5 linked regions of the Ovis aries genome follow. The protein of the gene in region 5 interacts with the protein of the main gene of each other region in a biochemical or structural test. Links are inferred from orthologs where the notes say so. Each region holds a gene or a part of one and is shown on either strand. Other genes may lie near its edges. The genes, in order: ANAPC2, ANAPC11, UBA1, RNF7 and UBE2S.

Region 1 (6,128 bases), on a different chromosome or scaffold from region 5:
GCCTCGTCTCCAGGGCAGCCTTGAGGGACACGAGCAGCTGCGGCCTCTGGTCTGTCCTCTCCAGGCAGTACTTGAGGTCTTCCACAGCGGGCCTCGAGTCCGGGAAGTCTGTGGGGAGAGGCTGATCCTGGCACGTGCACACGTGGTGTGCCCACAGACAGCTGGAGGGAGGCCTGGAGGGTGGGTGGCCACACCTCCACAGGCTGCAGGGAGAGACCCTGCCCGGGGTCTGCTGTGGCCCCTGTGCGCTCAGGGGCCCGCACCCTTGAGCACAGCCCCCTGGAGGGGCAGATGGGCAGAGCAGAGCCCAAGGGCTAGGGCAGAGCTGGGGGCAGATTCAGCACCTCTCCTGCCCAATGCGGATGCGGGGTGGGGCCCGGCTGTGCTCCAGACGCGGGGGTCCTGGGCTGCAGGCAGGGGCGAGGGCAGGGGCCCCCAGCGAGCAGGCTGACCTCGGATGATGCTGAAGAGCTCCTCGATGCGCAGACCGGCATAGATGCGGTAAAAGAACCTCTGCACGTGGCACCGCCAGCGCCGCAGCGTGGCGCCCGGCTCCGGGGACGCGGGCCTGCTGGGGCCGTCCTGCAGGAACACCTTGCCCAGCCAGCCAACCACTCTCTCGATCCACTGTCAGGAGAGCACAGCTGTGGGGCTCCAGGGCCCAAGCCCAGGGCAGAGGTGCAGCTACCTGCCGAGGGCTGGCCCTTGGGAACCCCAGGGACCTGTCCCAGACCAAGGGCACAGTGAAATCAGCAGATGGGGGCCTGAAGGGGCCTCCCAGGGCCTACCCCATGCACACCAGCACCAGGCTCATCTCTGACCACAGCAGCTCTCACAGGGCGCTGCGTCTGAGTGGACGGACACACCCTGGGGACCGCCCACCCAGCCACCGGCAAGACGGCCCGGACGGTCTGCTGCCTGGGGACAGCACAGCTATCCCCGGGCCTCCTGGCGTGCTACAGCCCACTTCGGGGACCCTTGCACTGAACACCACCCCCGCCCTCAGCATTGCAGCGCACAAGCGTCCTCAGGAGGCAGGCAGCAGGATGCAGCGGAGTGGGGAGGGTGGGAAGTGAGGCAGGCTCAGAGCCCCACGGTTGGGCCCGGCTCTCCCACAACGCTGTGCAGCCCAGGGCAGCCCCCAGGCCACGCCCCAACAGCACGGACGCCCCAAGGCCCCGCGCTGGGACAGCCCAGACCTTGGGGCTGCCTCTGGCCATGTGGCCCTGCACAGATCTCAGGAAGCATGTCAGGCTCTTCCTCGCTGGCGCCAGGGTGGGCCCAGGATGACCAGCCTCCACCCAGCACCAAGACAGCTTCAGTCACCAGCAGCGTCCTGATTCACCCAGGTCACCACACTCTGCCCACTTCTAAAGCCAAGGCACCTAGTCACTTTTGCCAGCAGCCTCTTCTCATCCGCGGGAGGGGCCTCACCTTGTGGAACTCACGCAGGAAGGAGCGTTCGTACTCGCCCCGACAACGGTCCTCCATCCGCTCCCGGGTCACCTGGTGCAGGGTGCTGGTCACAGCCTCCGCGCTGACCCGCTCCAGCAGACTGAGCTTGTGCCTGGAGGAGAGCCCCGCCCACGTCGCACGCAGCGCACGCACCCGCCGCGCACCCTCAGCACAGCCTCCTGCAGCCCTCCCGCTGGGGCAAAACCGCCCCGAGGAACTCAAGACAAAGCGGCTGAGATGGCAGCACCGGTAAGGCACCTCCCACTCTCCCCAAGGGGTCAGCACCTCTGGCTACTGGGGCCAAGGCCTCGTCCACCTCCTAACAATGGCCCTCAAACAATAGCTAGAGAAGTCACTACTCCGGCCACGTGAACACAGACGTAGCAGTCTCTGCTTCTCAGTGCTGATCCCGACCCATGATGGCAGAAAAGCCCAAGAGAACCAAGCTTCTGGGGAGCACGCCACACCGTCAGCCCAGTGAGAAGACTCTGACGGCTGCGCAGCTGCCACTCCATTCACACTGACAAAATCATCACAAGGGGCCACGGGACGTCCCGAGCGGTCCAGGGGTTAGTAATCCTCCCAAAGCAGAGGACACAGGTTCAATTCCTGGTCAGGGAACTAAGATCCCACGTGTCGCGGGGCAGCTAAGTGCACACGCCACAGTGAGAGAGAAGCCCGTGCAGGCCAGCGAAGGCCCCATGCGCCGCAGTCCAGACCCGACGCAGCGACAGCGAACAGGGACTTTACACAAGCAAGCACCCAGAGAGCCGGGGACCCGCACGACAGGGCCTGGGTCTGACAACAGAATCCTTCCCCCCTCACAAGGCTAGAAAGGCCATCAGTTTGCCCAGCATGCTGGTCTAATCTCTGACTTGCTCTACAGAGAAGAAACAGCAAGCGTATTTTTCTCAATTCCAAGACAAATGTCATTCCACTTCCGAGAGCCTACAACAGGCACAGCAGAATTCTGCACAGCCCGGGACACGTAGAATCAAGCAGTCTTAGCGTAAGCAGAGTACAAAGGTGAATTCACCTGAGCCAGGGTGAATAACAGACACACCTAGGCAAGGACAAGAGGCATAAACTCATAGAAAACACACATCCTGAGAACCCTTGGGAACCAGGGCGAGCGGCAGAGACCACCCCCAGCTAGCTCACCAGCTCTCTGCAGGGGCCGGCGGGACCCAGAGTGACAAGCAGGAGCCAGGAGGGACAGGGACACAGGACACGCAGGCCAAGTACTCACAGGACCTGGCTGAGCTGGTGGAACTGCTCCAACGCTTGGCGGCACCAGCACTGCTGTTTGTCACTGCCGCACCCCGCGCACAGCGGGCTCTGCAGAAGGCGGTAGTACCGGCGGCGGGCATACCTGCTGTCCAATTCCCCCTCCAGTTCCGGGTCTGTGCCTCCTTCCCCTTTTCTCTTACTCTGCATGTAAACTCTCAAGAAGCGCCCGTAGAGGCGCTGGATCATCTCCTGAAAAGCTCTGGGAGTGGAAAAGAACAGGACGCCCCGCAACGTGGTGTGGACCTTCTCCCGAAGCCCCTGAGCACCGGTGCCCAACAGCAAGCCCAGGCGAGTCCATTTCTCCAGGAGCTCTAGACTACGCAGGTAGGGATCCAGGCGGCTCTCCAGCAGACCGAAAGCATCGAGGAGCAACAGAAGGCACTGGGGCTCGTCCGCACAGTTCTCGCGCTGAGAGATGGCATTCCAGAACTCGAGGGAGATGTTGGCCTGCAGGTCGGTCTGCAGCACCTCTACGAACCACTCCTCCAGGACCGAGTGCAGACCGTGGCCCCTGAGCACCTCCACCGCCGCCCGGAGCTCCTCCTCTTTTGGAGGGACGGCACCGCTGGTTCGAGAGGACGCCTGCAGTACAGAAAACCATGAGAAGGGGACGCACCGCGGAGGCGGAGAGGGTGGAGACAGGTGAGAAAAAGTGGGAAAGGGACAGCGCGGATGGAAGGCCACGGGAACCCCGCCGCCCTTCCTCGCAGGGACGCAGGCCCACGCGAGGGAAGGGCTGCGGAACACGCAGGGAAGCCAGGACGGGCGCCGGCGGGCTCGGGGCCCCGGGCACCCCGCGCCGGCCCGTCGCCCTCATCTCGGGCCTCACCAGTCCCAGCGCGGCCGGAGGCACCAGCCCGGTGCTCACGGTGTTCCAGGCCGCCAGCAGCTCCTGCGCAGGCCCCGCGTCACGGCCCGCCTCCGTCGCCGCCGCCATCTGCGCCCACCAGCTCTCAGAGCCGCTCGGCGAGGCGCGCCGCGATGACGCCAAATTGGGCGCGCGCGCGCGACGATGACGCACACGGTGCGCGGCGAGAGGCGCAGGGGCGGTGACGCGACCGGGGGCGGGGCGAGCGGAGATCGTGCGCAGGCGCTGAGGGGGGCTGCAGCGGCGGTTGGGGCGGCGGGGCCCGGCGGCGACCATGACCCAGCAGGGCGCGGCGCTGCAGAATTACAACAACGAGCTGGTCAAGTGTGAGTGGCCGCGCGGCGAGGCCGGCGGGCAGGCTGGGAGGGCGGCGGGGTCGCCGGCCTGCGGGCCCGGGCCGGCGCTGGCCCGCCGCGCGCGGCTGTTCCGGCCGGAGCGGCCCGGACGCCGGGCGGAGCCGCGGAGTGGCCGCCCCGAGAGCCGGCGTCTATGGCGCGAGCAGGGTGCGGGGGCCTGGGCGCGCTCAGCCCCACAGACAGCACGGGGGCTCGCGCGGGGCCTCCTGAGACGGCAGACGCTCTGGGACGCCGGCCGCCGGCCTGGTCTGGACGCCCGGGCCTTCGCTGGCCGCTCGCCTCGCGCGCTGGGGCCGGCGCTCCCGTGCCCACCGCGGCCCCCGGCGCCCACCGCGCCCGCTCCCCGCTCGCCCCAGGCATCGAGGAGCTGTGCCAGAAGCGGGAGGAGCTGTGCCGGCAGATACAGCAGGAGGAGGAGGAAAAGCAGAGGCTGCAGAACGAGGTGAGGCAGCTGACGGAGAAGCTGGCCCGAGTCAACGAGAACCTGGCGCGCAAGATCGCCTCTCGGAACGAGTTCGATCGGACCATCGCGGAGACAGAAGCCGCCTACCTCAAGGTGGGGCTCGGGGTCCGGGTGCTGGCCCCGGGGCGCCTAGACAGGTCGTCGGCCCCCGTGGAGTGACAGCGAGGCCTGGGTCCTACTGTTGGCGTCTTGTCGCCGTGTCGCTGGCTCCAGACTGAGCAGCAGCGGGAGCGGGAGCCAACCGGGGCCTGGATTCCCGGGGTGTGAGCAGTGGGCTTTGGGCTATACTCAGAGGGGAGCCGGGCCCAGCGCAGGATGGGGCGCCGGGCTGTGGCAACTTTCCGACGGGGCGGGGGGTGGGGGGGGGGGGGGGGGGGGGAAGAGTGTTAACTGGCTGGCGTCTCTGTCCGCAGATCCTGGAGAGCTCGCAGACTCTGCTTAGTGTCCTGAAGCGAGAAGCGGGGAACCTGACGAAGGCTACAGCCTCAGAGCAGAAGAGCAGTGGAGGCAAAGAGAGTTGATGAGGCCGCGGGTGGGGGTCCTGCCTGCGGCTCAGCGCCCCCCGCAAGCCTGTCTTTAAAGCACCTTTGTTCTTCAGGGAAGCAGCTTTCTCGGTTTGTTGTCTTTGGTGCCGAGAGAGGCAACTGCCAAGCTTCAGTGGCTCTGGGTGACGGGATGGCCCTGGGTGTAGCCTGCCCAGTGAGGGGTCCTAGTCCTGCACTCACGCAGGCTCTGGGGAGCATAGCTCTGCAGGGCCCCCACACCACCTGGGCTGCAGGGAAGGCCTGCTTCTAAACTTCGCAGGGCGGGAGTCCCCAGACTTCCTCCCTCAGCCGGTAGGTGCCCAGGCAAGTGGAGGAGGAGCTGGGGCCCTTCTTCACCTCAGAGCTTGCCCTGGAGGCCTGTGACTGTCAATAAAGTTTGTCTTTGTAAAGACCCATGCCACCCTGCTACCTGTGTAGTGTGGGGCTGCCAGATGCAAACCGCACCCCCCTGCCCAAGTCAGAACACAAAACTCTGGCCCGGCTGTCACATGGTTCCTTGTGAAGGAGAGAAGAGGGCCTGCAGTGACTTTCCCTGTGTCCAGCCTTGTTGGGATAGAGGTAAGGGTGCCCCTGAACGCCTCCTGTGGCCTCTGCCACACCCGCTTCCTCTGAGCCTAGTGCACAGCCCACACTGCACTGAAGGTGCCGCTGCTCCTGGCCTCTAGCAGAAGGTCGGGTCTAGGGGACCTTCTTGGGCCTTAGAACGCCGGGAAGAGCTGCACTCCAGCCCAGTGACTCCGAACGCTGCGGGGCAGCACAGCACCCATGCTTCCCACTCTCTGGTCACGAGTGGTGTCTGTGCAGCCTGGGGCCCAGCCATCCCTCCTGAGTCCTCTGGGCCCATCTCCTTGGCCTGTCAGCCCCCCTGGGGTCCTCACAACTGCTGTCTCTTGAGGTTGGGCAGGTTGGGAAGCATGTGTCAGTTGAAAAGGTCTACAGAAGTCTGGGCCCACCCCTTCCAGGAAAACACCTTCCTCCTTCCCAAGCCTGGCCAGGTGGCATTTCTCCTGGGCCTGACATTCCAAGAGGAAAAGACAAGCCTTCAAGAGCTGGATTGTGAATGGCCTGGCTCCACACAGGCAGCCAGTCCAGCCGGGAGCCGCTCCTGTTCTTGTCACCTCTTGGCAGTTTTCTCTGCTAGTGGGACCCCA
Region 2 (6,112 bases), on a different chromosome or scaffold from region 5:
AGTGGTACATTCACCCTATGGAGTCAGACAGATGGGCACTGCCATCTTCTTACTCTCTTGTTTGGGGCAGTGTTTCTCAATCTTTTTTTTTTTTAACTTTTTATTTTGTATTGGGGTATAGCCGATTAACAACACTGTGATAATTTCAGGTGAACAGTGAAGGGACTCAGTTATACATATACATGGATCTTTTCTCCCCACCAAACCCCCAATCTTTTAAAAGTAATCCTCTCTAAAACAAAACATCACTCCTTTTCTGAATCTTTTATGACAAAACCAAAAAACAATTTACTTGGCAAATACAAAACTATCTAGCTCACTCTGCTTCCCAGGCCAGGGTGGGGGGGTGAGGTGGACGGCCCTGTGCCAGGAGCCCACAGGGTGTGACACCTGATTTCTCTTGGTTCCCACCCCCACCCCACCCCCACCCAGGGTCTTTCCCACCTCAGCAGAACGACACTTGGAATCACGCCTAACACATTAGAGCCCTTGCAAACAGAGGATGCAAGAGGATGCGCAGGGGCCAACTAGCCTGCTGGCAGGGGTACCCTAGCCATCACGTCCATTAGTGGGGAATCTGACACCACCTTCCATGCTGACAGTGACTCATGCTAAGCGTCGGGATCCTCTCCATAAGACTTTCACTCACAAAGCCCTGAGACAAGGAGCAGGTTTATCACAGTCTGAGTCACTCTGGATTTTTCGTAGGAATTCCATCTCAGCAGGGAAGTCCAACATCACTTGATCTGTATAGAAGGGGCCCTGGGCTGACCAAACACTTTGATCATTACCGCTGGCTCACAACCAGCAAGTCCAAAGTTCAGCCTCAACCCCCTCTTCCCAGCACCCAGCACACCTCAGGCAGCCCCACACACTGGGTTCCACAAGCTGCATGCAACCCCTGGTGCCATCTTTGACACTTGGCTCACTCACCCACACTGGGTCAAGGGCATGACCACATAAATGCTACCCTAGGACTTTTCTTTTCAGAAGCCACATCTGCTGCTGAGAAAGTTGAAAGTACCTACCCATAACCTGTGTTGTACCTTTGAGAAAGGGTGGTTTTAGGATTTCCCTGGTGGTACAGTGGATAGGAATCCACCTGCCAATGCAGGAGATACGGGTTCAACCCCTGGGCCTGGAAGATTTCAAACGCTGTGGAGCAACTAAACCCGAGCAATGCAACTACTGAAGCCTGTGCGCCTCGAGCCTGTGCTCCGCAACAAGAGAAGCCACGGCAACCAGGGTAGTGCTGCCTCAACTAGAAAAAGCCTGCATGTAGTAACAAGACCCAACTGAACCAAAAAAAAAAAGGGCGGTTTTAAACGGATTAAACCAAGCCAGACCTTGTGCTTCTATTCTCTCTCCCTTTACATAAAACCTCATCAAGTATGGGAGGGGGGTTCATGTTTGGGAATGCATGTAAGAATTAAAGATTTTAAAATTTAAAAAATAAAAAAATAAAAAAATAAATAAAAAAAAAAATAAAAAACAACAACAAAAAAACCTCATCAAGTAGAACCAATCACTGATTTCCTAAGATTATATCGCAGCCTGATTAAATCAGGATGGATTAGCCCATGGGTGATGAGATTTCCTCTTCCAGATGTAAAGATTTAAGACTAGGATAAAATTATATTTGCACTAAAATCAATTATTTGAATTTCACTGTAAGAAGCAAAGATCTAGTACTATTTTGATGTTCACAGCCCCACAGGACAGGCCTGGTCATTGACTTCTCAGTGGTCCCCAAATCTCACTTCTCTCTCGGGAACACCTTCGTCCCCTAGGCAAAGCCTTAAGACCCTTCCTACTGCTTCTGGTTCACTTGTGTCTGACTAAAAACTAAATTCACTGGTGCAAAAATCTCCTTTTGACCCAAATACTTTCGCTTCACAGAACACACTGGGGACAAAGGAACAATGCAAAAGACACCGCAAAGATGAAATCTGATAAAACCTGAGGTCAGGCATTTTGCAAGACAACATGTTCTGAAAGAAATCAGATGTCTACGGGGAATTCCCTGGTGGTCCAGTGGTTAAGAATCTGCCCTCCAATGCAGGGGATGTGGGTTTGATCCCTGGTCTAGGAACTAAAATCCCACATGATACAAGACAACTGAGCCCATGCAACACAACTGGAGAGAAGCCTGCTCAATGCAATGAAGGTCCCTAAGCAGCCAAAAATAAATAAAGAAAAATAAAAACAAATAATTTGATGTCTAAAACGCGATAGAGAAGTTGAAGCAAAACTATTCTAGATTAAGTAGTGAAGGGAAAAAGTGATCACACCTTGGGTCTTGGCTCACACCACCCAACAATAAAAAGACATTTGAGGACAACTAAAGAAACCTGAACAAGGACTAGGAATGACCGGCAACAGTAAGGCAGTATATTGTCTAAAGTGACAACAGTGCTGGTAAAAGTCAGCACTGATATAGGACATCACATTTAGCATTTGCTGCGGCTTCCCTGGTGGCTCAGTGATAAGGAACCCGCCTGACAATGCAGCAGATATTTAGCATTTACCTTAAAACAGCTGGGCAAAAACAGCCAGATATGAAAACGTGTTATTCATCATTTATGTGCTGGATTGAGGGGGAAACCTTGTAACGTCACAATTTTTTGTTGACTTGAAATTTTCAAATACAATGTCTTAACACATTTTTGTGTTCCACGGGTCTCATAGTGACTTTTATCAGGATAGGAAACTGTGCTCTTTTCCTTACAAAACTTTTGACGGGATCTTTGTACAAATATGGGCCCAAATAGCCTGGCTTTTCTCTGTCAACTTTTCTTGGGAAGAGGAAACCAAACCCCAGAAACGCTCTGCGAGTACTTCTGGGGACACGCCAAGGCCAGATGATAGGCACAGCTCGAGAGACAGCGGGCAGGGGACACTCACAGTCCGGGCAGCAGCCATTGAAGGCCATCCGGCAGATGCCGCAGTTCTCGTCGTTGGCTACCCAGAGCCAAGTGGCCACGCCGTTCCAGCATTTGATCTTCACCTTCATGGCGCGAGGAGCCTGCGAGGAGGGAAGAGACCACCCGGCTGTGCTGAGTCTGCAGAGCTACGGCACCTGGAAGCCAAAGAAGGGGCGTCGCCCCGAGGGTCGAGCGTAGGCAACAGTGGCCGCCGAAAGGCAGTAAGAGGCTGTCTGCAAGGGGACTGGGGCGGGGGCCGGGTCCTCGGGAAGACCGGGAGGACCGGTGTTGGTCCTTCGCCAACACCGCACTTCTGCCTCGGCGTCCGCAGAAGGGCTCGTCGGCTTTCTTTAACAACCGCAGAAACGCGCCGTGCGCTACTTCCGAAAGGGCTGACGGGGCTGAGAGATGGAGACCCAAGCCCGCTCCCTACGAGGTCACCCCGGAAACAACCCTGGCGCGGGCCGCACTCACTCCCGCCGCTGGACTAGGGTGCGGGTTCCCGGTGCGGTGGGGGAGGGGCGAGGGAGAGGCGCCACGCTCGGCCACGCCCCCAACGGCCGCGCCCCCGCCGATCTAATCGCGCGCCGCACCACCCGCCTTCAGTTGGCAGTGCCGGCCCCGCGCGGGAAGGTATATAAACGCCTGTGGCCGCGGCTCGGCACTTCTCAGAGGCGCCCGCCGAGCTCCTTGGTTCAGCGCGCACGCGCGACCTCGCCCCCTGAGACGCCGAAGGCCCGCAGCCAATCCGCGGTCGCTCTGAGGACGCGGCACCGGAAAACCCGCGAGCGGCGCTGGAAGTGACGCGCCGACGTGCTGACGCGCGGGCTCGAGCCGAGGCCGATTCCGCGCCCGCCATGGCCGACAAAATGGATATGTCTCTGGACGACATCATTAAGCTGAACCGGAGCCAGCGAGGCGGCCGCGGCGGGGGCAGGGGCCGCGGCCGGGCCGGCTCCCAGGGTGGCCGCGGCGGCGGAGCCCAGGCCGCCGCGCGAGTGAACCGAGGCGGCGGACCCATTCGGAATCGGCCGGCCATCGCCCGCGGCGCGGCGGGCGGCGGCGGCAGGAACCGGCCGGCGCCCTACAGCAGGGTGAGTGTGGAGACCGGGTGGCGGGCCGCGGCGAGGGAGCGAACCGGCAGGGCGGCGCACGGGCGACCGGCGGGCCGTCCGGGCGGCCGACCGACTGACCGACTGGGCCGGGGGGCGCGGGCGCCGGCCGGTTCGGCGGGCGGGAAGGTCGCTCGCCTGCCGGGCACCAAGGCGGAGACCCTGGCGGCCTTTGTCTTAACAGGGCGCCCGGCCTCACGGCGCTGGGGGCTGAGGGGCCGTTGGCGCGGCCGCCCCGGTGGCGGGAAGTTGGTTGAAGGGAACCGAGAAGTTGCGGGACGTGTGGCCGCGGCGGCCGGGTACGGCCTGACGCGGGCGTGAAGCGGAGGCTGCGGGTCTCTCTCAGCGCCTGCCTCCCCGCCGAGATGGGGGGAGGCTCTTGCTGTGGCCGTGAGGGCGAGGGCGAGCCCTGGAGTGAGACTCACAGACCTTTTTCTGTTCTTGTGTTTTCTTTTCCCTCAGCCGAAACAACTTCCTGACAAATGGCAGCATGACCTTTTCGATAGCGGTTTTGGGGGTGGTGCCGGCGTGGAGACCGGTGGGAAACTGCTGGTGTCAAATCTGGATTTTGGAGTGTCCGACGCTGATATTCAGGTAAGGGACTGGAGTTTCTTGGTGGGCGGGTCACTCCGCACGGAATCGGTTGTGGCGTTTGGGACTTGGCCCAGAATCCCCCACACGCACACCTTGGGACGACAAGCTCTCCCAGGCACCGAAAGGCCAGCCACTGTTCCCTGTGATGGGCTCCAGGAATGCAGAGCAGAGGTTGAGCTAGAGTTGAAAGCCTGACCAATGTGTCAGTTTGTGCTGGAAGACAAGGCCCCAGCTTAGTCTGGGGCGCTGCTGTTCTTCCTTGCTAAAACGTGTTTTGTAGATGAAGGCACTCTGCCCAAGCTCTTCTGGCAGAAGCTTGGTTGACTGTGCTCCGATTCTGTTCCTGGAAGAGCTAGGCTACTTGTTTTCTTTACGTTTTGCTTGTTTTAATGGTTTGTTGGGAGGAGAAAGCACTTCCTTTGTAGAACTGACATAGCACAGAGCAGGATGGTGCCAGCGCCGCTCTGGCTCCATTTGCCTTAAGCCCCATGTCTTACTTGGAATTTCATCCCCTGTCTTCTCACTTACCCTCACCCCCTGGGTTTTGTTAGTGACATGATTCTCAAACATCTTTGGTTGAAGCCTCTTTTTTTTTGCCTCTCTTTCCTCCCCTTTTTCTTTTTTTCCTTTTCTTTCTTTCTTTTTTTTTTTCGGTTGAACCCTAAAGGCCTTTAAATTTGCTGCCTAAAATGGTTAAGTAATGACATCTTGGGGGTCAGTCCAGGAGATGGCTGGGCAGGGTACTGGGCCTTCCTGGGTTCAATTTCCCAGAGCCCAGCCATTTACTTTGCCTTGGGAGGACAGAGCAAGGCCAGTGAGCACTCACAGTGTCTCAACACTTTTTTTAAGGTGGTTTCTGGCATCCACTGGAAACCGCTTTTGGTGAACTCCACTTCCCGCTGTGTGCCTGCGGCCGGAGTAGCCCCACACTCTGGGTTCCCTCTCCAACTCCCAGCCTGCCTGAGGTCAGGGCAGTTTCCATGGCAGCGCTTGACTTCAGGCTTTGCGGCAGGCTTGAGTAGGAGGAGAGGGAAAGGTGAGCCAGAATCTGCCCTGGGGGAGGGGCTGGGTCAGGGCTCCCAGTCAGAGGGCCCTTGGAGCTGGTCCACAAGTGGATAGAGCCCCTTGCTCTGTGATCTTGGCCTTGGCTGCTTCTTGGCACAGTCCTTGGGTGTGTTGTAAATATTCCTTTGTTGAAGAAGATAGCAACTAAATCTTTGCCCTTCATTGGTGGGCTTTGTGATCCTTCACCTGCATCGTGGTATAGATGTCAGGTTCCCAAGTGGGCAGGAGCCCTCGGGCCCAGCTGCTCCGGGAAATTGCTGTCCCACCTGTCCCATCCCATACCCCAGGTCCCACCGCCACTTCCCTGCCCCACCACGTGTATGTCTTCCTCCCAGGGAAATACCCCAAAGCAGTTTACACTTCCAGGGAGTGTCCCTGGGCCACCAGAAGAAAAATTGCTGTGCTAACAACTGCTCT
Region 3 (5,531 bases), on a different chromosome or scaffold from region 5:
AGCCATGAGGCCAGAGTGCCTGCTCCCTGCTCTCTCCCACCAATGCTGATCACCTGCAGGGTGTGCTCGATGGCATTGGGGAAGTTCTTCAGTGTGCAGATGGGGATGGACTTTTCAGGCGGGTCCTGGCTGGAGCTGTAAGATTCTGTTAGGAAGGGGATCACCACCTGCACGTTGCCCTTGGTGCCCAGTGTGCCCGACTCCAGCAGTGGCTTACGGTAGTACACGCAGCGGCGGTCCATGTACATGCCTGGGGGTGGGGTCACAACATAATGTGAGTGGCAAGATGGAACATTAGGAGGCAGGAAGACAGACACCTCCAAAACATACACACACACACACACACACATACACACGTGTGCACGCATACATGTAACTTGGCCCCTGACCTCCTCACCCGCCTCCAAACTCACGGGCATCCACATTATCCAGGGCATTGGTTACACCATCCAGGTTTTGGAAGAAATCATCATCATAGATGCGCTCAGTGTCAGGACCTACACGGTTCTGGTGGCTTGTCACTCGGATATGAGGATTCATCTGGCGCACAGCTGCAGCAGCTGTGTCAGACTTTAATTTCTAGGGGGAGTGAGAGTGGGAATGGGGGAACAAAACTCAAGTTATTCATGTGTGCAACCAGAGAACCTCTACAGAGCTGTCCTCCTGAAGGCTGACATATTTAATGCTGCGAAGAACTAGGCCCTGAGTTCAGGAAGCTCTCTGGTTTGGCAGGAGACAGTTCATGACAATACCACAGGGCTAGGGCAGGGACTGATATGCCAGGGGTTCAGTGGAAAGGGAAGCAGTAGACAGGCCAGCCTTCTGTCCTTCTGCCTACCCAACATCCACTGTTCTTTCAGGTAATGGCACCTAGGCTAGGGAACATTCCCCTCAAACAAAACAATCTTAGCATACAGACAAGAAGTTCGAATCAGGCCATATCCTTCCTCTGCTGAAAACCCTCCCTTGCTCCCACCTCCACCGAAGGTAAGATGACTTGGTCCCCATTTCCTCCAGCTTATCTCCTACTCCCCTCCCACCTCAGGATCTTTGCCTGAGTGGTTGAGGAACTCTACTTCCTCACGCCCTCCAAGTTGGCAGAGATGAGCCCTTCCACATATCAAAATTGCAAACTGATCTCCCTGGCCTGCCCACTTCCCTCATCGTGCTGTTGCTCTTTCCTCTGCACAGCACTTACCAAGAACGCTGAGTATAAATTTTATTACTGTACTGTGTTTATTCTTTACTCTGTCTCCACTCCACCAAATCTTTGTTTCCTTGGTGTACTCCAAGTACCTACAAGAGCACCTACGTGAATAACTACTTGGTGAATAAATGAATGAACAAAAGGGAAGTCGATCCTGGACAGGCAATGATGCTGTTCCCCACAGAAGGCCTACTAGCTAGATCCCTGTATAACCTAGCTTCTATCTGTGCAGAGAACAGTGAACCTAGCACAAGTGCTCTCCTAGGAAAGAGGCCTCCTGGCCAGGTTGGGCCTTGGCTGCAGTCTGGAAACCTGGATTTCAAGAGTTCTTACCATTCCCCACCTGGTAAAGGCTGCTCACTGTGCCTAGGCTGCTTATGAAAACCCTACGGTTTAGGCCAAACTCCTGCTCTCCTTTTGGAGTCTGCAATTTGGGGATGTTCCCAGAAGAGGGAGCCTACATGACCAGCCTACAGTAAAATCCTTGGGTACTAGGTTTCTTACAAGCTTCCCTGACTGGCAACATTTCACATGTGTTGTTGCAACTTGCTACTAGGGGAATTACAGGTGTCCTGTGCAACTCCACTGGGAGAGAGTCTTGGAAACTTGTGCATGGTCTCCCGCAGACTTCACCCCAACTTCTCTTTGCTGATTTTGTTATGCATTCTTTCACTGGAATAAATCATAGCCCTGAGTATGACTATATGCTGAGTCCTGTGAGTCCCCCTAGTGAATCACTACACTTGGGACCCCCAACACACTGTCCCAACCAGCATTCATAAGAGGTCAAGGAAAAAGAAAACAGGACATGAAAAACGGTGGATTCAATGGAAGGGTACTCAGCATTCATTGAACGAGTGACAGAAATTGAGGGAGAGCTGAAGGAAAGAAAAAAGCAGTAAAGCCCCCTTTTTAGGAAGAATGGGAACAAAAGACAAGATGAAAACAAGATGACAAAGTACCGCCTCCACCCCTCATCACACTCACAGTGACATCCCAGGGCCGGAACAGAAACTGTCTGTTCAAATTTGACTTCTCAATGGTGTCCATGTCTGTGACAACAATTTCTCCATCTTCTGCACAGCCCAGCCCAATCATGGCAAAGTTCTTGAGCAGTTCACAGCCAATGGCCCCTGCGCCCACCTAGAAAACAACCAAGAAGAGACAGAGTGTCTGGGTCAGGGTGATGCAGTCAGCGTGAAGTCATTCATCACTCTGTACTCTCACTCCCCAGAAGACAGCAAGAGAGGGGTGTCTAGTGCCACATCCTTAAGTGCCACGGCTATGAAAATAACCTAGTCATCTGAGGGTGGAGGCACAGATGGGGGAAACAGGACATACTAAGCTTTCCCAAGATTAAGAAAAAAAGGCAAAAGTCATGTGATACAGATACAAGAACCAAAAGACACTCCCTCAGGTGGCAAGAGACACCGTAACAGGTAGCCAGAGGGCAGGGGATACGAAGGAAGCACGTGTTCCAGCGGATCACTCACCAGGAAGTACTTCTGCTTGCCCAACCTCTCCTGCAGGTCGGAGCCAAATACAGCCACCTGCCCATCATAACGGTTCTGGCGCTGAGGAATGCAAAGGGAGAAAGGTCAGAGAGCAGCCTCACCAGAAATGCCCCCTATGTCACCTACCCCAGGGCTCTACTCACATACCGGGAGGCACTTGTCCTCCGTGAGGGCCTCTTTGTCCTCAGGGAGACACTCGAGGGCATCAAAGTACAGCCACTGCATGATGGGCATAAACTTCCCAGAGCAAGCCTGGAGAATAAGCAGGAGAGGGGAAGTAGTCAGTGCTTACCTGGGGCCTCATGCAGATGGGACAAGTGATAGAGGCAGGGAGGCGCCTGGCCTATGCCAACCCTGGCCTTTTCCACCTATGCTGACCTTCATGACCTCCTGGGCAGCAAGGCCCCCAATGAAGGCATTTATGGGAGCCAGGTCCCCAGCAGCCACATATGCTAGCTTCCGGATGAGGTCCTCATCCAGGCTGCCCTGCTGCACTGCAGGCAGGGATCGAGTGTTCACAGCCTGGGCTATGGTCACCAACTCTGCTGCATCCTCCTAGTGGGGCCAAAGGAACCAAGAGCATGCCTGTTAGGTCACTGCGTTAGGGGCGAGAGGTGTAGGGAGAGGGGCAGAATGGGCCTGCAGTGCCAAGGTCATCTACCCTGGCTTGGCTCACCCACACCCACCTCATTGTGGGGCCGAGGGGACCGACCATGCTGAGCACAGAAATGGTGCAGGGCCTGGAAGCCAATGTGTAGCTGGGCAGGGCGGGAATACTTGGCAAAGTCTGTCATCACAAAGTCAGGCTCTGCTAGGGAGGCTGGCAAGGATTTCTGTGGGAAGCAGGGCATCAGAAAAAAAAAAAAAGAATCAGAAGAGAATTGAGAACCGTGAGATGCCCAGCCCCAGCTCCTACAGCCCACTGCCCCTCACACTCACAAAGCTGATCTTCTTGGGTACTTTGACCTGGCTGACGATGCCTCCGCGGATATAGTCAGAGAAGCTGGAGGTGTCACAGATGCTAAAGGTGTAAGGACCTAGGGTAGACAAAACAGTCAGGACACCCACTCTCCCTAAAACCTACAACCACCTACAAGATGAGGGAAAATCCATTCCTGACCCAGCTCAGACATCAGGAGTAATCTCCTCTCCATCCTGAGTTCTACTCGAATTTCAGAAACCATCTCCCCTCTACCCCAGACCCAGCGCCCACGGGACCCCACGTCTCTGACCCCAAGTCTACAACGGAAGACGTTCTCTGCTCCCTGTCTGAATTAGCTCAGACACAAGTGGATCCTCTGATCTTTGTTCAAACACCAGAGACCTTGCCTCCCCTCAGTGCAGCTATCAGGGGCCTATTCTACGAACAGCTCAAACACAAGACAGCATTTCTCCCCCACACCCTGCTGGGCAGACCTTAGGAGACTCTACCTCTGGTTCATCCCAGATACCCAGGATATGTCTCCCCTCACACAGAGCCCAGGGAAACGCCTCCTATCTCCCCTGGTTCCCCCCTGGCCCTAGCTCACCCAGGACTTTGATTTCCATGGGCTGACTTCCATTGAGTTCAATCATGCCCTGTACTTCCGAAAAGGAGACGAAGTCGCCAGTCTCAAAGCCATGTCGGGCCTCATCCAGACAGGTAACCACACCGGGGTTGTCCTGGTTGAAGGAGGAGTACCTCAGAGGCAGGTTCAGGGTACTGGGAGCAGACAGGAAGGCCTGTGACCGCCCATCCGCCTGCCAGGACCCAAGGCTGGCCTCCTCACCTTGGTGACCATAGAAACCATAGCACTGAGCGGCTGCTCCCCATTGGAATCAGTGAGGATCATTTCCTCTCCAAAATCACAGAAGAGCTGCCTGTAGAGGGAGGCAACAGGGCTGATGCCCGAGTCCCACGCGCACTGAGACTGCACGTGTCCCTCAAGATGCAGCGAGTATTTGCTGAGCAAATTCAACCCATCACTGCTGGGAATCAGACTGTGCTCACGCTACGTGGGGCAAGGTAAACACACAGCATCCAAAACCCAAAGGCCTAAGGGGGGCTGAGGGCAGTCAGAGCTTGGGGTGGAAAAGAGCAGGGACACTCACCCAAACAGGCCCCGGGTGTCTGCCACCACCAGCTTGATGCCACGGCTGTGACAGAACTCACCCACCCGCAGCTGGTCCTCCAGGGGGCTGTTAGTGAGGACCACCACCTGTGGAGAGATGGAAGCTCAGGCGAGGGCCCAGCACCAGGGTGAAGGGTAAAGGGAGCGATCATGGAGGAAGGCTGGTAGGAGGGCTCACGGGGTCTTTAAGGCTTTGCTGGTTCAGCTCTCTATCACAAATAGAAAGTATCTACCACGTATCAGATTCAGCCCAAGCAAAACTCAATGAAAGGAAATGTGAATCCCTAGACTATGGCAGGCAAGGTAAAGAGACAACTGGGAGGACAGTCTGGGTAACAGCTGACTCCTTCATTTGCCAACACCCACTGCTGCCTGTTTACAGCCCTGCCATGCCCTGGGAGAGACAGAAGTAAAACTTTGTCCTCAGCCAAAGTCTGAGCTCACTCCTACCACACCCACTTGCTCCCAATTCTTAAAACACCTGCTCAGCCATGGGTCTCTGCTGAAAGCCTAACCATTCCCATCAGGGTAAGCTCCCATGGCTACAGCAGGGTTCAGCAGCAGTGTCCTGGCTCGCAGGGACACTCTGGGGCAGAATTTCAGCTCCCACAACTCCACTTTCTGGCCCAGAGTTTATTTAACCAACAACCAGCTGCTAGTCCATAGCCCTCACAAAACCTTTATCAAGTCAGCATTACT
Region 4 (6,244 bases), on a different chromosome or scaffold from region 5:
ATCTATAAACTACATACAAAGGAATCTGGAGATTTAGAATTGCTTTCACCTTTAGGAGAAAAGTTAAATACTCGATCATAAAAGAGTACTGAAAACTGAAATGCTTTGTTAGAATAAAATCCTGATTGACCAAAACTAACCTGTAACATACTCAAAATTTAAAGGATGTTTTGGCAAATTCCTTATTTTATATTTTTCTTAATAGAATATATTTCTTTTTTGATTATTAAAACATTTACCATGCCCATGTCTACAATATATAATCAATTCTTCTGAATTACAAGCAATTAAAGGACTTACAGATAATTCCATTAAGACCCTTTGAGAACCAACACATTTTATATTAATAATGAATCGCTGCTTTACAGTTTATTTTTGTGTATTGATAAAGTCAATCTTAACTGCAAATTCAAACATCCCCACTGAGAGAAAACCTTCAGTTGAAAAAGCAGAACAAAATTACAACATACCAACACAATCCTCTTGTTTGTTTTCAGCTTGACATCTAAGACAGGCATCTAAAAGTAAACAAATAGCAATTCTCATTCTGATGCTCAGAATGCAATTTTTAAAACCCCATACACTTCAAAGTCAAATAAAAGGCCCAAAGGGTTAGAGATGTAGATTAGAAGGCTCATACTATTAATTTCTCATCTGAACATAACTGCTTAAAGATGAATAAAGTACAAGGCACTCTACTAATTTACTTATGACCAGGAGCAATTTCACAAGAGTTACTGACCCTCTATTTTCACAAGTGCTGATTAAAACATGTCCTGACAGTGGATGTAACTACTAGAGAAAAATATGCTATATTTCACTATATTACTCCCTGGGCACATGCACACAGATCAATTTTATGAACAGTTTATTTTCAAGACATCCTTTAAAATAAGCCACAAATATATATTGGTATTTGCTTACATATATTTAGAAACTCTAGAAGGATAGTCAAGAAACTAATAATAAAGTTCACCTGGGAGGAGATGGAATGGGAAGGGGTTTTCACTGCACACTTTCTCAAGTTTTTAAGTTGTGACTGTATAACCTACATAAAAATTAAATTTAAAAAACCCTAAATATTAGGTTCTCTCTCTTATTTTTTCTTTTTAAGGAAATGCTCCCTTTACAAATAATCTGAGCCCAAAGCATTTACCCAACAACGGTAAAGTATTTTAATAAATTACCTGGGAGTAAACATGAGGAATGGGAACCAAAAGGATATACTAGAACTTTTCAAAATTCAGTCTGTACTACCATTTGCTTGAAGAACGTAATATAGAATATTTTAGGAACCAAAGAAATGGACTCATTCACTAGCTGAAAGCAGTCAAAGTTGGGTGAAAGGAAGTTCAAACTAACAGAAAAAAAAAAAAGATTTTAATATAAATTAGAGAAAAATTCTATAAAAATAGAAACAGGATAGAGTTGAAGCCTACTTCTTTTCTTACACTGGATTATGCTCAGGCATTTGTTTGCTCCTCTCTGCATGCTCTTACCCTTAAAAAAAACACACTACCCTGGCCTCTTCAGTGTGGATTAAAAACCACCACTGCCTCCTGAGGCTTTCTTCAATTTCACAGTTACTGAGTACCTACCCTGTGCAAAGAGTAATGCCTGGGGGCCACCAAAATGACCAAGTCTGGGTCCCTGGTCTCACCAGTAAATGGGAAAGTGGATAGGTAAACAGTTAAATATCGCAAGGATCATGATATAAGGGGGAAGACATGCCTCTGGTTCTGTGCAGTCACAGAAAGTTCAGGATCCCAACTGTCTCTTTTACAAGTTAGGAAAACAAGGCTCCAGAAGGTTATGTCAAACGTCCAAGTTAACAGATAGCTGTGGAAGGTTACTCTGGCTCTTTATCCCTTGACAATACAAGCAAACCTCGTCCCCTCTTCCTCACCGGTGCTTGCTAGCAGCTCCTTTCCCAATAAAGTCGGCAGAGTGGAAACCAAGGAAGAGTGTCTTAACCACATTAGAATGGGCTGACTGGCAATTCTTAGATCAAGAAGTTATAACAAATCATTTAGGTGTATGAGATGAATTCAAATATCAAGGACACAGGATTAAGTGGGCTTTTTATAGAATCTAGAAGTCTCTGAATCATGCCTACGGCTTTTATTTAGATTCACTATCAACAACTGATCTGAACAGATAAAAATTCCTAAAGTTTCATATAAAAGAAAACATTTTCCTTTGATGATGTTCTTAATATCTAAAACAGCGCATTTCTAAGGAGTACAGTAACACCTTTTAGAATGATGCCAGAAAACACACTTCCTTCTGCTGTCACCTGACCACCAAATAGATTTTAACACCTCATAAACACAATACAGAGGTCTAGCCCAGAATACTTTTCTGAACCCAAAGTACAGCTGTTGTAAATATGAAACATTAATCCACAGTAGCAAATACTTGTTATAATTAGAAAGTTAATGTGAGAAGTGAGTCATTTATAGCCCATACTTTGACTTACCTTAAATATCCCAGTAAAGTTTATTTCTTGCAAACTTTCAACCATTATTTTATATTTTGCATTTCTACCTACTAATTTAAAATTTTTCTTTGGGGAGAAAAATAAGATGCTCTTTTAGGAAAATTATTTTAAACTAAAAAAGAAAAAAAATCCCACAAACTGGAAGTTATGATTCTAGCTTTCAAGAAAGGGTTAGGGCAAGGGGGCTGTATTGCAGGCCCATAAACTAAGTACCTAAAAACCCGATACACAAAATAAGTCGATCACATCTGAAATCTAGTTCTTTTAAAAAGTAAAAAAATATTTGAATCCCATAGTTGCAAATTCTCTTTAAAACAAATTCCTACGAATAAAAAACATAAGTGCATACTACAGAGAGAGTAAATTGAGAAATCTCTTGTTTCTGGTAGGTCTAAATTTTCAATGCTCAAGAAGGGAAAGCATCTTTTAAGTTACTTTCTCCAACTGTCTCATTTTTCAGTGCAAGACACAAAGTTTTCAAACTACAGAAGCCTCAGTTTTCTCCAATTACCTTCAAGAAATGACATTTAAGACACTCTTAAATGCTGTAGTTTTAAATGCCCTATTTAAAAATATAACGTGCATTTAAACAGCAACTCTTTTTTAAGGTCGTCTAAGATCTTAAAACAGAGACCATATAAAACACAACGAGATGAAGCTGCTCTGAAAGGCTTCACGTGGTCCAATATTTTCATTAAAAATATCATAGAAAGAAGTAACAAGTTTGCAAAAGAGGGCTTTCCAGAAAGGCCAGACTTGAGGGCACTACCCTTCTCCAAGAAATTGCATGCTAGGATGGGGAGTGGCCAGTAAAGAGATGAAGCTTCATGTCTCTGAATAAAAGGGTTTACATTCTTCTAGTTCAAGCCAACCGAGTGCGATCTGACCAATCTTGAATCATCCAGGTTTAAAAGCCAGCAGAACAGTAGCCAATCTAGAAAGGGGACGGCTAGGAACACTCTTCTTCCCTGCGCCTCTCCAGAGCACGACTAGCGGCCGTTTGGGGGGAAAATGACTCCAGAGCATCACTTTGGTGTGTGACCAGAACCATCCGACTGACCCGCTGACTCAGGGCCTTGACCTTGACCTCTGTGTGGTTTGCTTTCGGAAAAGGGTGCGGTCGCTGGCCACACAAACCGAAGTGGTTCCTCCCAGCTCCCGTCAAATCACCTACTTTTATTGTCGTGATCACACCGATCACTACTGGAAATGACCTTGTTTAACTGTCCTGCCTGCTACCCCCCTATTCCCCCAGAATACCCGTCCCCGGCACAAGTCGCCTGCTGAACGACCAGCTCGGGCGTGGCCCGCGGTCTCCTGGGGCCGGGGCAGGGCGATCCCGCCCCTACTCCTCCCGGAACGGTCTCTCCAAGGCTTGGTCCTTCCCCCCACGCCCGAAGCCGGGCCTGCGGAGGCCGCAGCACAGCCGGGGCCTCGCCTGCTGCGCTTACCCATCACCTGGACCCTGCAGATGGCGCACGTATCGCACTCCACGTCCCAGCTCCACATGGCCACCGCGTTCCACTTCTTGAGAGAGAACATTTTGTCACCGCCCGACTTGGATCCTGCGCTCCCCGAGTGAGAGGACAGGGCACAGGGTTCCTCACCGTCTTCCACGTCGGCCATAGCGGCGGCGCGGAGCCGGCGACGGAGACGTTGGGTCGTGGGAGGCGGGCGGCTATGGCGGCTCAGTGGGGCCGTCCGACGGGCCACAGCGCCGCCCGCAGGCCACGGGCCGCCGCGGGGGTCTAGGACCGTGGGGCGCCCGTGATTGGCTGGCGCGGCCCAGTGACGTCACCGTACGCCGGCACCAGCGGCTTCCCGGTGTCCTAGTTCCCGGTACTCGCGTCCCCAACGCCCGGCCAGCTCAGCGGGGTGAGGGACCCCGGACCGACCCTGCGCGGGGGAGACACGTGTCCTGCTTTATGTCTTCATGACACCGCTTTTAGACGTTGTCTTGTTGATATATTCGTCCTTCTCAAATGTAAACGCCCTGGGGGGAGCGGGGACTATTTCTTTTTTCTTTTTGGGTGGGGGGACTATTTCTTGATCATCTCCTTCGTTAAGAAATGCTGTCTCGGGAGGGACAGTTATATGTTGAGTGAATGAATGACGAGCTAGGAATCTGGTTCAACAGTTCTCAAATATTTTGGTCTTGGGACCCCTTTACACTTAAAAATTACTTAAGGACATTTAAGAACTTTTGTTTGTATAGGATGGATGTGTACATATACACGCTTATACATATGTATTTCCTTTTTAAGAAAACGGGGGAAATGTGAATATATTAATTCACTTCAAAACAGTAAGAAATCCATTACAAGTTATCCTTAGAATACCAATATTGTACACTCACAAGAGAGAATGAAGAGAAATAGCTATGAGTGCTGTGCTGTGCTTCGTCGCTCAGTCGTGTCCGACTGTGCAGATCCCATGGACTGTATGTAGCCCGCCAGGCTTCTCTGTCCATAGGATTTTCCAGGCAAGAATACTGGAGTGGGTAGCCATTCCCTTCCCCAGGGGATCTTCCCAACCCAGGAATTCAACCGGGGTCTCCTGCATTACAGGCGGATTGTTTACCAGCTGAGCTACCTGGGAAGCTCAGAGCTATGAATACTGTTATGTAAATATGTAAATAGTTTTGACCTTGTTGGTCCCCTGAAAGACTTCCAGGAACCCTGGAGACCACACTCTAAGAAACTTAAATCTAGTTTAACTTTTTATGTGTAGGAATACTGAAGTCCCCAAAAGTAATTTATAGTAATTCTGCTATATTTATAAAAGTAATTTATAGTAATTCAGAAAAGTAATTCTGCTATTCTGAGAAGGTGACAGTGGAAACTAAGGTTCTTCTGTTACTAGCCCAGGGTCATGTTATGTTTTCCCAAGCAAAGCAGATAACATCTTCTTTTAAAAGATACCGAAGCTGAGGCATGGAGACCGGAAGATGCTTGGTCACACTACCACCTAGTGGTGGCCACCTGCTGTGTCAGGATTAGGACTCAGAGCTTCGCACCTCTTTTTATTTTAATGATGAGGGTCTCATCATTCCCTCATCTCCTGGTGTCAGGCCTGGTGCCCCTGGGTCTAGGCTAACCAAACTTCAGAACTCTGGCAGAGGAGTCAAGGAGGCATTAAATGTGTAACGATACAAATATGGACACAGGGTCACATTTGGCCACATGTGCTGTTTGTTGGGTGGTGCATTAAGTGCTGTCAGAGACAGAAACCTTCCTCAAGACAGATGGAGTGAGGGAGTGAGGGAAAGCCTCATAGAAGAGGTTAAGTTTGAACTCGGCGGGAGATGGGAGGCCTTGGAGGCCAGGAAGTAAATGGAGAAAGCAAATGGACAGAGCAGTAGTGGTGGTAGCAGATATAAATCTCACCACAGTAACTTCATGAGCCAGACAAAAATGTCTGTAAACAAACCCAGATGAACCATCCAGAACATGTTTCATTCACATTAAGCTATCACATATCTGACTATCAGTTCAGTTCAGTCGCTCAGTCGTGTCCGGCTCTTTGAGACCCCATGAATCACAGCACGCCAGGCCTCCCTGTCCATCACCAACTCCTGGAGTTCACTCAGATTCACATCCATTGAGTCAGTGATTCCATCCAGCCATCTCATCCTCTGTCGTCCCCTTCTCCTCCTGCCCCCAATCCCTCCCAGCATCAAAGTCTTTTCCAATGAGTCAACTCTTTGCATGAGGTGGCCAAAGTACTGGAGTTTCAGCTTTAGCA
Region 5 (6,282 bases):
AGGCGCGCGCGGGCTGCATACTCCTCGTAGTTTTCCAGCAGCAGGCGGCCCGCCTCCTCATTGAGGGCCGACTCGGGGTTGGGGTGGATCAGCAGGCACTTGATGGTCTGTGGGGAGAGGGCCAGGGTCAGGGGCCCGCCCCCAAACCTCTCAAACCCCACACTGCCCCGCCATCAGTGCCCCGGCGGGACAGGGGAGCCCAGGTACCGGCCCGGCAGGCCACACTCACCACCCAGTGGGCACACGGGTGCTCGGTGAGCTCACCCGCAATCTCTCTGGCAGCCGCTACCAATGCTCCAGGGAGAGGAGGAACAGGTCTGGGGTCAGTTTACTCTGGTGCTCGACCCTCCCCATGCCCTGCTGCAAACCCCAACTCTCCGTCCTCCCTACTGTTTGCCCTAGGGGCTCATTAGAAAGTCAGATTTTTAAAAAACTTTTACCTTGTGAGGCAGGTGGGGAGAGGCACCAGGTGACCTCCATGCTCTAAGGGGCCCACAGGGACCCTGGGGCCCCACCTGGGGGGCAGGTGGGCATGGCTCTCCAAGGGGCAGCAGCTCTTTAGCGTCCTCCCACTGAGGGTGGAGCACCCCAGCAGCGACAATTAAAGACGTCCCGGGGGCACAGAGCCACCCCTGGGTGAGAAACAGCGGAATCACAGCGCTGACGGCTGCACTCGCCGTTCGGTGTCGGAAAGGCTCTCCAACCAGACACTCGGCCTGCGCCTGCAGAAAACTATCCCCACACAAGCCCCTCACCCGCCCCGTGGCAGAGTTCCCTGGGCGCTGCCTACCCTTCTAGAAAAGCTGGAAACCTGGACTCTCATGTGGAGGCCCCCACCACTTCAGCGTTGATTGTTTTAAAGAGGAACAAGGCTCTGTGGCTTGGACGTGACTGGGCCGGCCAGGAGGCAGGCCGGGTGCAGCAGAACTCACCAGAAGCACGTGCCGGATGCCCAGCTCAGCGGTCCAGTCCCTCTTGAGCACGTTGACACATATCTCGCCATTGGCGCCCACATTCGGGTGGAAGATCTTTGTCAGGAAGTAGCCCTTGGGCGGGGAGGCAGGGAAGTCCTTCCCCAGCAGGAGTTTCATGCGGAAGAGGCCTCCGGCGTAAGGGGTCCCCTCTGGAATGCAAGGAGGGGATGCATCAGGAGGCTCAGGTCTTCCAGGCACCCCCAACACCCAGCCTCCCCAGTCTGTCGGTGAGGCAAATGCCCCCTCGTTTACTTCCCCAGACTGGAGAGGACAGGGCTAGGTTCCCAGGTGCCTGCAGGCACTCCCCCCCAACCCCAGCTCAGAGCTAACCAGACTGGTGGTCCCCACCCACGGAGGCTCCTCAGTCCCTGCTGAAGCCACAGCACACCATTCCCAAGTGGCACAGACATATATGGCCCCTCTGTCCCCCGGAAAAACATGTTTGCAAGTCTCTCAGGCAAGACTCAGGACAGTTCTGTCCACTCCAAGGTCTCCCTGCTGCAGCCACAGCCCTCTCGATCACTCTCCTGATCAGGTCAAAAACCCGTGGGAGCCGTTTCCAGGGCTGTTCTTGGTGCTCCAGCCCCCATGTCCAACCCATCCAGTTCCCCCCATAAATGTGAGGCCCCCTCCAAGTCCAGCAGAACCACTTCACTCACCTGATGGATGCCAGCCTCCAGCCTGCAACCCCACCCAAACCCCCACCGAAGTCACAGTGAAGTCCTGCTTTAAACCCACCAAGGGCTTCCTTTCTAAACTCCTGAAGAGACCTACAGACCCTAAAAGATCTGCTTCCTGTAAGCTTCACCAATCGTTTTTCTTCTGTTCTTATAAAATATCTAATACACCCCAAGACTGCCAAAAGCTTTTTGGGATCCTCACCTCCCACCGAGCCCGCATCAGCATGGGGGTGAATCACCTTCTCACCATCTCAGAAAGCCTTCCCGGACCCACTGCCCACAAACCTGATTCCAAACTAGGTCTTTTCGTTACATGCTCTTCATTTAAGTCGTAAAAATTCAATAATCTAAACGTAGTGCACGTGAAGTGACACGTTACACCAACCTACAAGATCAAACACCCTAGTGGCGTGGTTATTATCTCCCCCAAGCCTGCGTCTGGCTTATTCTCTGCCTGGTTCCCAGAGCCCCCGACACTGCCGACAGGAAGGAATCTGAGATGGTCCACCCCGCCCTCCAGGCCTTTGCTGACACTTCTCCCCACCTGGCATCCTTCTCCCAATCCCACAGAACTCCTACCCAACTTCAGGATGGAGGAAACACGCAGAGCCAAGCTAAGGACCCATTACATGCTCTCTTTGTCCCCAGTTTTTCTCACCAACATTTAATGGAGAGTACACAATTATTTGTCACTCCTAGTGTCCAGCCCTGCACACCAGGAACACACGTAACAGGTGTGTGTGCTTGTCCTGCCCACCCTTGCGTCCCCAGGGTCTGGCAATCCACTTAAGAGTGGGAGCTTCCTATCCTGGCTCTAGGGTGACTAGGACCTAGGAAGCGCACTCCTCCCTGTCGATCCGACACTCACCAGGGCCCTCAATGGTGACCTGCAGGTCGGTAAGGTCCTCCTCGTTGGGAAAGACCTTGATGCCATCAGGTGGGTCAGCGGTCAGCGTCGTCACCTCCTTGTACACCAGGCGGATGATGTGGGGGGGCAGGTTCTCCACGTTGGAGTTCTAGGTATGGAGACAAACAGGTGAGCCACGGGCAGAGCCAGGGCCTGGAGCCTCTTGCAGGATCTAGGAGTCGGTGGAGTCCCGGGCTGGTCAATCAATCACCCCGAGCTCCCGAAACTCCCAACCCAGGAAGACTCAAGCGACAGCCCCAGGCTAATCCACTAGAAATGGGAAGCATCTCCGAGCTCCTGCGGACGACTCCACCTTCCCCAGAAGCCCCCGAAGCCCGTTCGTAGCTCCGCACAGGCTCCCCAATGATTCTGGGTAAGCCCGATGCCTACCTGGGTCCCTTTCCCCCATCTAATCTTGTTAAGACCATCCTGGAAACCCCAGATCGGTCCTGGAGACGGCCGCAGAGTGGTGTTGTTCCCGGAGCACCCACAGGCCTGCCCCAAAGGCCGGAGCCCTCCCCGGGACTCGGCCGGGCCTTCCCCTCCGCCCCGCCTACATGAAGGCCCCTGGGCCCAACTCAGGCCTCGGACCTCCAGGTGGGCTCTCCAACCCCTCAAACCGCCCGCGAGAGGGTCCTGAGACCACGCCTCTTCCTCTACGGGGGGGTACCTCGCCTACCCTTCCCGGGCCTGGGCGCCGCACTCACCATGACTGCAGCCGGCCGGGGGCGGGTCCCCCCGGCCCCCTTCCCGCGCTCTCCGGCCGCCTGCCGGGGCGGGGGGCCCAACTGCTGTCGCTGCGGCCCTAACGAGGCCCCAGCGGCCCCGCTCTGCTCCTCTCAGCCTCCGACGTCCGCCGCGAACCGCAAAGCAGCTTCACCCGCCCGAGTGACCGGCCGCAGGAAGCCGGCCGCGCGCGCACGGCCACCCTTTTATATCCGCCCACAGGCCACGCCCCCCTCACGGGCCCCTCTCGCGGCGCCTCGACCCGTGACGTCAGCGCGCACGGTCTTCGGCGTTCGACGGGCTCGCTCCCTTCCTGCAAACTGCTGGCAGAAGTTGGAGAGGGGGCGCGCGGCGGGCTGGCCACTCGGGGCGCGTATGGGTCCGGGAGGGGATCCGGGAGAATGGAGAGGTGGAGAAGGGGGAAGCAGAAAGGAAGAGGACGTAAAGGGCGACGCGAACGCTGATTGGGCCGTTTGAATGAGACGCCTGCGTACGCGCGCGCCCTGACGCCCAGAAATCGCGCACGCGACTAACGGTCGGCCGTGGAGCCTGGGCGGGGCGAAAAGAGGTGGGACTCGCGGGGTTTAAAAGGATGATAGAAGGCATTCCGACCAATAGGGACGCGCAGTCGTGGAGTGGCGTCACGAGACACGAGCGGGCCAATCCTTGACGTAGAAGGCGGTACCAGAGGGGCAGAGAAAAGGAGAATGACCAATGGGGGCTCTGCCTAGCGCGGACCCAGACTCTCACAGCCAATGAAGTTCGTTGGTTTTGTGTATGCAAATAAGTTCGCGGACATTCGAGCCCCTTCCTCAGCCCGTCGTGGGGGTGGGCGCTGGCCGTCGCGGTACGTTTCTCTTCGAGGCGCCATTTTGTGGTGGGAATGACGTGTGACCTGCGTGCTGCATAGCGGAGGTCCCAAGGCCAGTCAGCCCGGCGCTGAAGGCTTAGAAGCCTTGACCTCCAATGTGTGACCTCTGGCCCCGGCCGGGCCTCAGCCTCCTGTGAGGACGGTGTCTAATAAAGGAAGAGCCTTCAGGCCTTGCTGAGGGCCGGGCCTTACCTGTGACTGACCCCGTTCTTCCGCCAACCAGGCCTCGTCAGGACTCCTTTTCCCTGTCTGGGGACCCGGCCCGGCGGCCACGTGTCGGCGCCCTTACAGCAGGACCCCCGGGAGTTGAACCACCGCCACAGCTACTGTGTGGCCCAGCGCCCCCGCCAAGGTCTCTCAGACCCTCTAGAGAGGGTCCCGACAAGACCCCAAGTGGGACCCTAGCTTCTAGAACTGGGGCAGAAACATGCAGAGACGGCCACCGCCCTAGCCAAAACCAGTGTGTGGCGGGTTGACTGCACTCGGGCACCCCCCACTCCTCACCTTAAGTCCGGCCTAGTTAACACGCAAGGACTCTGATGGAAGAGGGGTTCTAGTGACTTGCCCAGGGGCCCCCACTCGAGACGAGGTGGAGTTGGGGGTCAGACTGAGCTGTAGCTCCGGAGTCCACCCGACTGACAAGGACTGATGGTGCTCATTAGAGTGATGGTTACTGATTCATGCTTGCTGGCCAAGGCACTGTTGTAATTTATTTGCATGTCTGATCTCATTGAAACCTCGAAACAACCCGGTCAGGTGGATGTTATGAGGTTCCTCTCTGGACACTGGCAGTTATTCAGTATGCTTTGGGTTTTTGAGCACCTTCCTTGGTGACTCAGTGGTAAAGTCAATGGAAGAGACTCCCCTTCGATTCCTGGGTTAGGAAGATCACCTGGAGAAGGACATGGCTATTCACTCCAGTATTCTTATCTGGAGAATCCCATGGGCAGAGGAGCCTGGCGGTCTACGGTCCATGAGGTTGCAGAGAGTTGGGCAAGACTTAGTGACTAAACAGCAACAGCCCTGTGGCAGGTAAGATGCTTTGGGGATACAGCTGAGAGTAAAAGGGACAAAATCCCTGTGCTCAGGGTGCTGACAACCTCGTGGGGAAGCCAGACAGTAAACAAGTAAGTATATCCTATTACGTCGGCGAGTGATAAAGACATCGGATCAGTCAGGGCCCGGGGTGCAGGGAGAGAGGGCTAGGGCTTCTCACTGACTTGTCGGAGGAAGAATTGCCTGAGCACCATATGGCAAAAGCTCTTCAGAAAAAGGAACAGCCCATACAAAGGCGAGGCGAGGGGATCACGTGTGGTTTGTTTGGGGCGCCACCGGGAAGCCGGTGAGGCTGAGTGGGTGGTGTGTTGAAGCGTTCAGGTCCTGGAGAGCCGTTGGAGGCTTTGATGGGGCATGGGTGGGAGCAGACAGGCCGGTGAGCACGTTGATGGCAGGGCGGGTGGGAGACGTGCTAGGGATCCCTGACGTGGACAGGTCCTGAGGGAGAAGGAAGGACTCTCCCGCAGCCTCAAAATTGGGCTCAGCGAACCTTCTCAGTCAAGGTTTTTGATTCTGCAGGCCACCCATCTCTGTCCCAACCGACTCCGTTCTGCTGCCCTAGGCAGAGCAGTCAAGTGGATGTGCAGATGAAGGGCGCTGCTGTGTCCCAGTCAGCCTTTGTTGACAGAAACAGGTAGTAGCTGGGGCCGGTCCTCAGGGAGGCTGCCCTTTACCGACACCTGAAATTCCAATAGGCCCCATCTCTGCTAAGAACTTCTCATGATCTTTGCCTTTTTTGGGGTTTCCTGTGGTAAGGGAAAATAGACACAGAAGCAAAAGGTAATAAATAAAATACATGGTAGGTTAGAAGGGAGTGAGTGCCATGGAAAAAGAGAAAAGTAGAGCAAGGGAGGAGGAGTTCGGGTGGGGGTGCCAGATTGTGGGATGCCAGCTGGAATGAATTTTAAGCCAGGTGGCCAGGGAAACCTCACCACTCAGGTGTCATGTGAACACAAGTTTGAAGGAAGAGAGGAAATGAGCTATGTGCTTATCAGGAAGCTGTATTTGGGCAGTTGAAACAGCTGGAGCAGAGGTCTAGCACATTTGAGGAACTGCAAAGGAGGCCAG

The links.
Region 1: the proteins of UBE2S (region 5) and ANAPC2 form a complex in vitro, tested with the Homo sapiens proteins (3 studies listed by BioGRID and IntAct). The link is inferred for Ovis aries from reciprocal best matches to the Homo sapiens genes UBE2S and ANAPC2.
Region 2: the proteins of UBE2S (region 5) and ANAPC11 form a complex in vitro, tested with the Homo sapiens proteins (31 studies listed by BioGRID). The link is inferred for Ovis aries from reciprocal best matches to the Homo sapiens genes UBE2S and ANAPC11.
Region 3: of the proteins of UBE2S (region 5) and UBA1, one has a biochemical effect on the other in vitro, tested with the Homo sapiens proteins (8 studies listed by BioGRID, with this or other methods). The link is inferred for Ovis aries from reciprocal best matches to the Homo sapiens genes UBE2S and UBA1.
Region 4: the proteins of UBE2S (region 5) and RNF7 form a complex in vitro, tested with the Homo sapiens proteins (3 studies listed by BioGRID). The link is inferred for Ovis aries from reciprocal best matches to the Homo sapiens genes UBE2S and RNF7.

The regions. Positions count from the first base shown.
Region 1 is NC_056056.1:746,627-752,754, reverse strand, and holds the start of ANAPC2 (anaphase-promoting complex subunit 2), read right to left. Parts: upstream 3,711-6,128; 5' UTR 3,683-3,710; coding exon 3,575-3,682; intron 3,328-3,574; coding exon 2,705-3,327; intron 1,568-2,704; coding exon 1,435-1,567; intron 628-1,434; coding exon 453-627; intron 109-452; coding exon 1-108. Other genes in the region: microtubule nucleation factor SSNA1, read left to right, coding at 3,888-3,939, 4,326-4,525, 4,846-4,953. UniProt on the Homo sapiens protein: Together with the RING-H2 protein ANAPC11, constitutes the catalytic component of the anaphase promoting complex/cyclosome (APC/C), a cell cycle-regulated E3 ubiquitin ligase that controls progression through mitosis and the G1 phase of the cell cycle.
Region 2 is NC_056064.1:50,495,631-50,501,742, forward strand, and holds the start of ANAPC11 (anaphase-promoting complex subunit 11), read right to left. Parts: upstream 3,631-6,112; 5' UTR 3,518-3,630; exon of another isoform or gene 3,080-3,517; 5' UTR 3,014-3,079; coding exon 2,905-3,013; exon of another isoform or gene 1,508-2,904; intron 1,382-1,507; exon of another isoform or gene 1-1,381. Other genes in the region: ALYREF (THO complex subunit 4), read left to right, coding at 3,782-4,018, 4,499-4,630. UniProt on the Homo sapiens protein: Together with the cullin protein ANAPC2, constitutes the catalytic component of the anaphase promoting complex/cyclosome (APC/C), a cell cycle-regulated E3 ubiquitin ligase that controls progression through mitosis and the G1 phase of the cell cycle.
Region 3 is NC_056080.1:57,612,075-57,617,605, forward strand, and holds part of UBA1 (ubiquitin-like modifier-activating enzyme 1), read right to left. Parts: intron 4,920-5,531; coding exon 4,813-4,919; intron 4,582-4,812; coding exon 4,491-4,581; intron 4,384-4,490; coding exon 4,251-4,383; intron 3,759-4,250; coding exon 3,661-3,758; intron 3,555-3,660; coding exon 3,408-3,554; intron 3,277-3,407; coding exon 3,100-3,276; intron 2,974-3,099; coding exon 2,869-2,973; intron 2,782-2,868; coding exon 2,701-2,781; intron 2,351-2,700; coding exon 2,195-2,350; intron 580-2,194; coding exon 414-579; intron 251-413; coding exon 54-250; intron 1-53. UniProt on the Homo sapiens protein: Catalyzes the first step in ubiquitin conjugation to mark cellular proteins for degradation through the ubiquitin-proteasome system.
Region 4 is NC_056054.1:247,816,128-247,822,371, forward strand, and holds the start of RNF7 (RING-box protein 2), read right to left. Parts: upstream 4,156-6,244; 5' UTR 4,127-4,155; coding exon 3,952-4,126; intron 519-3,951; coding exon 471-518; intron 1-470. UniProt on the Homo sapiens protein: Catalytic component of multiple cullin-5-RING E3 ubiquitin-protein ligase complexes (ECS complexes), which mediate the ubiquitination and subsequent proteasomal degradation of target proteins.
Region 5 is NC_056067.1:62,871,543-62,877,824, reverse strand, and holds the start of UBE2S (ubiquitin-conjugating enzyme E2 S), read right to left. Parts: upstream 3,470-6,282; 5' UTR 3,272-3,469; coding exon 3,269-3,271; intron 2,671-3,268; coding exon 2,523-2,670; intron 1,124-2,522; coding exon 933-1,123; intron 108-932; coding exon 1-107. UniProt on the Homo sapiens protein: Accepts ubiquitin from the E1 complex and catalyzes its covalent attachment to other proteins. Catalyzes 'Lys-11'-linked polyubiquitination.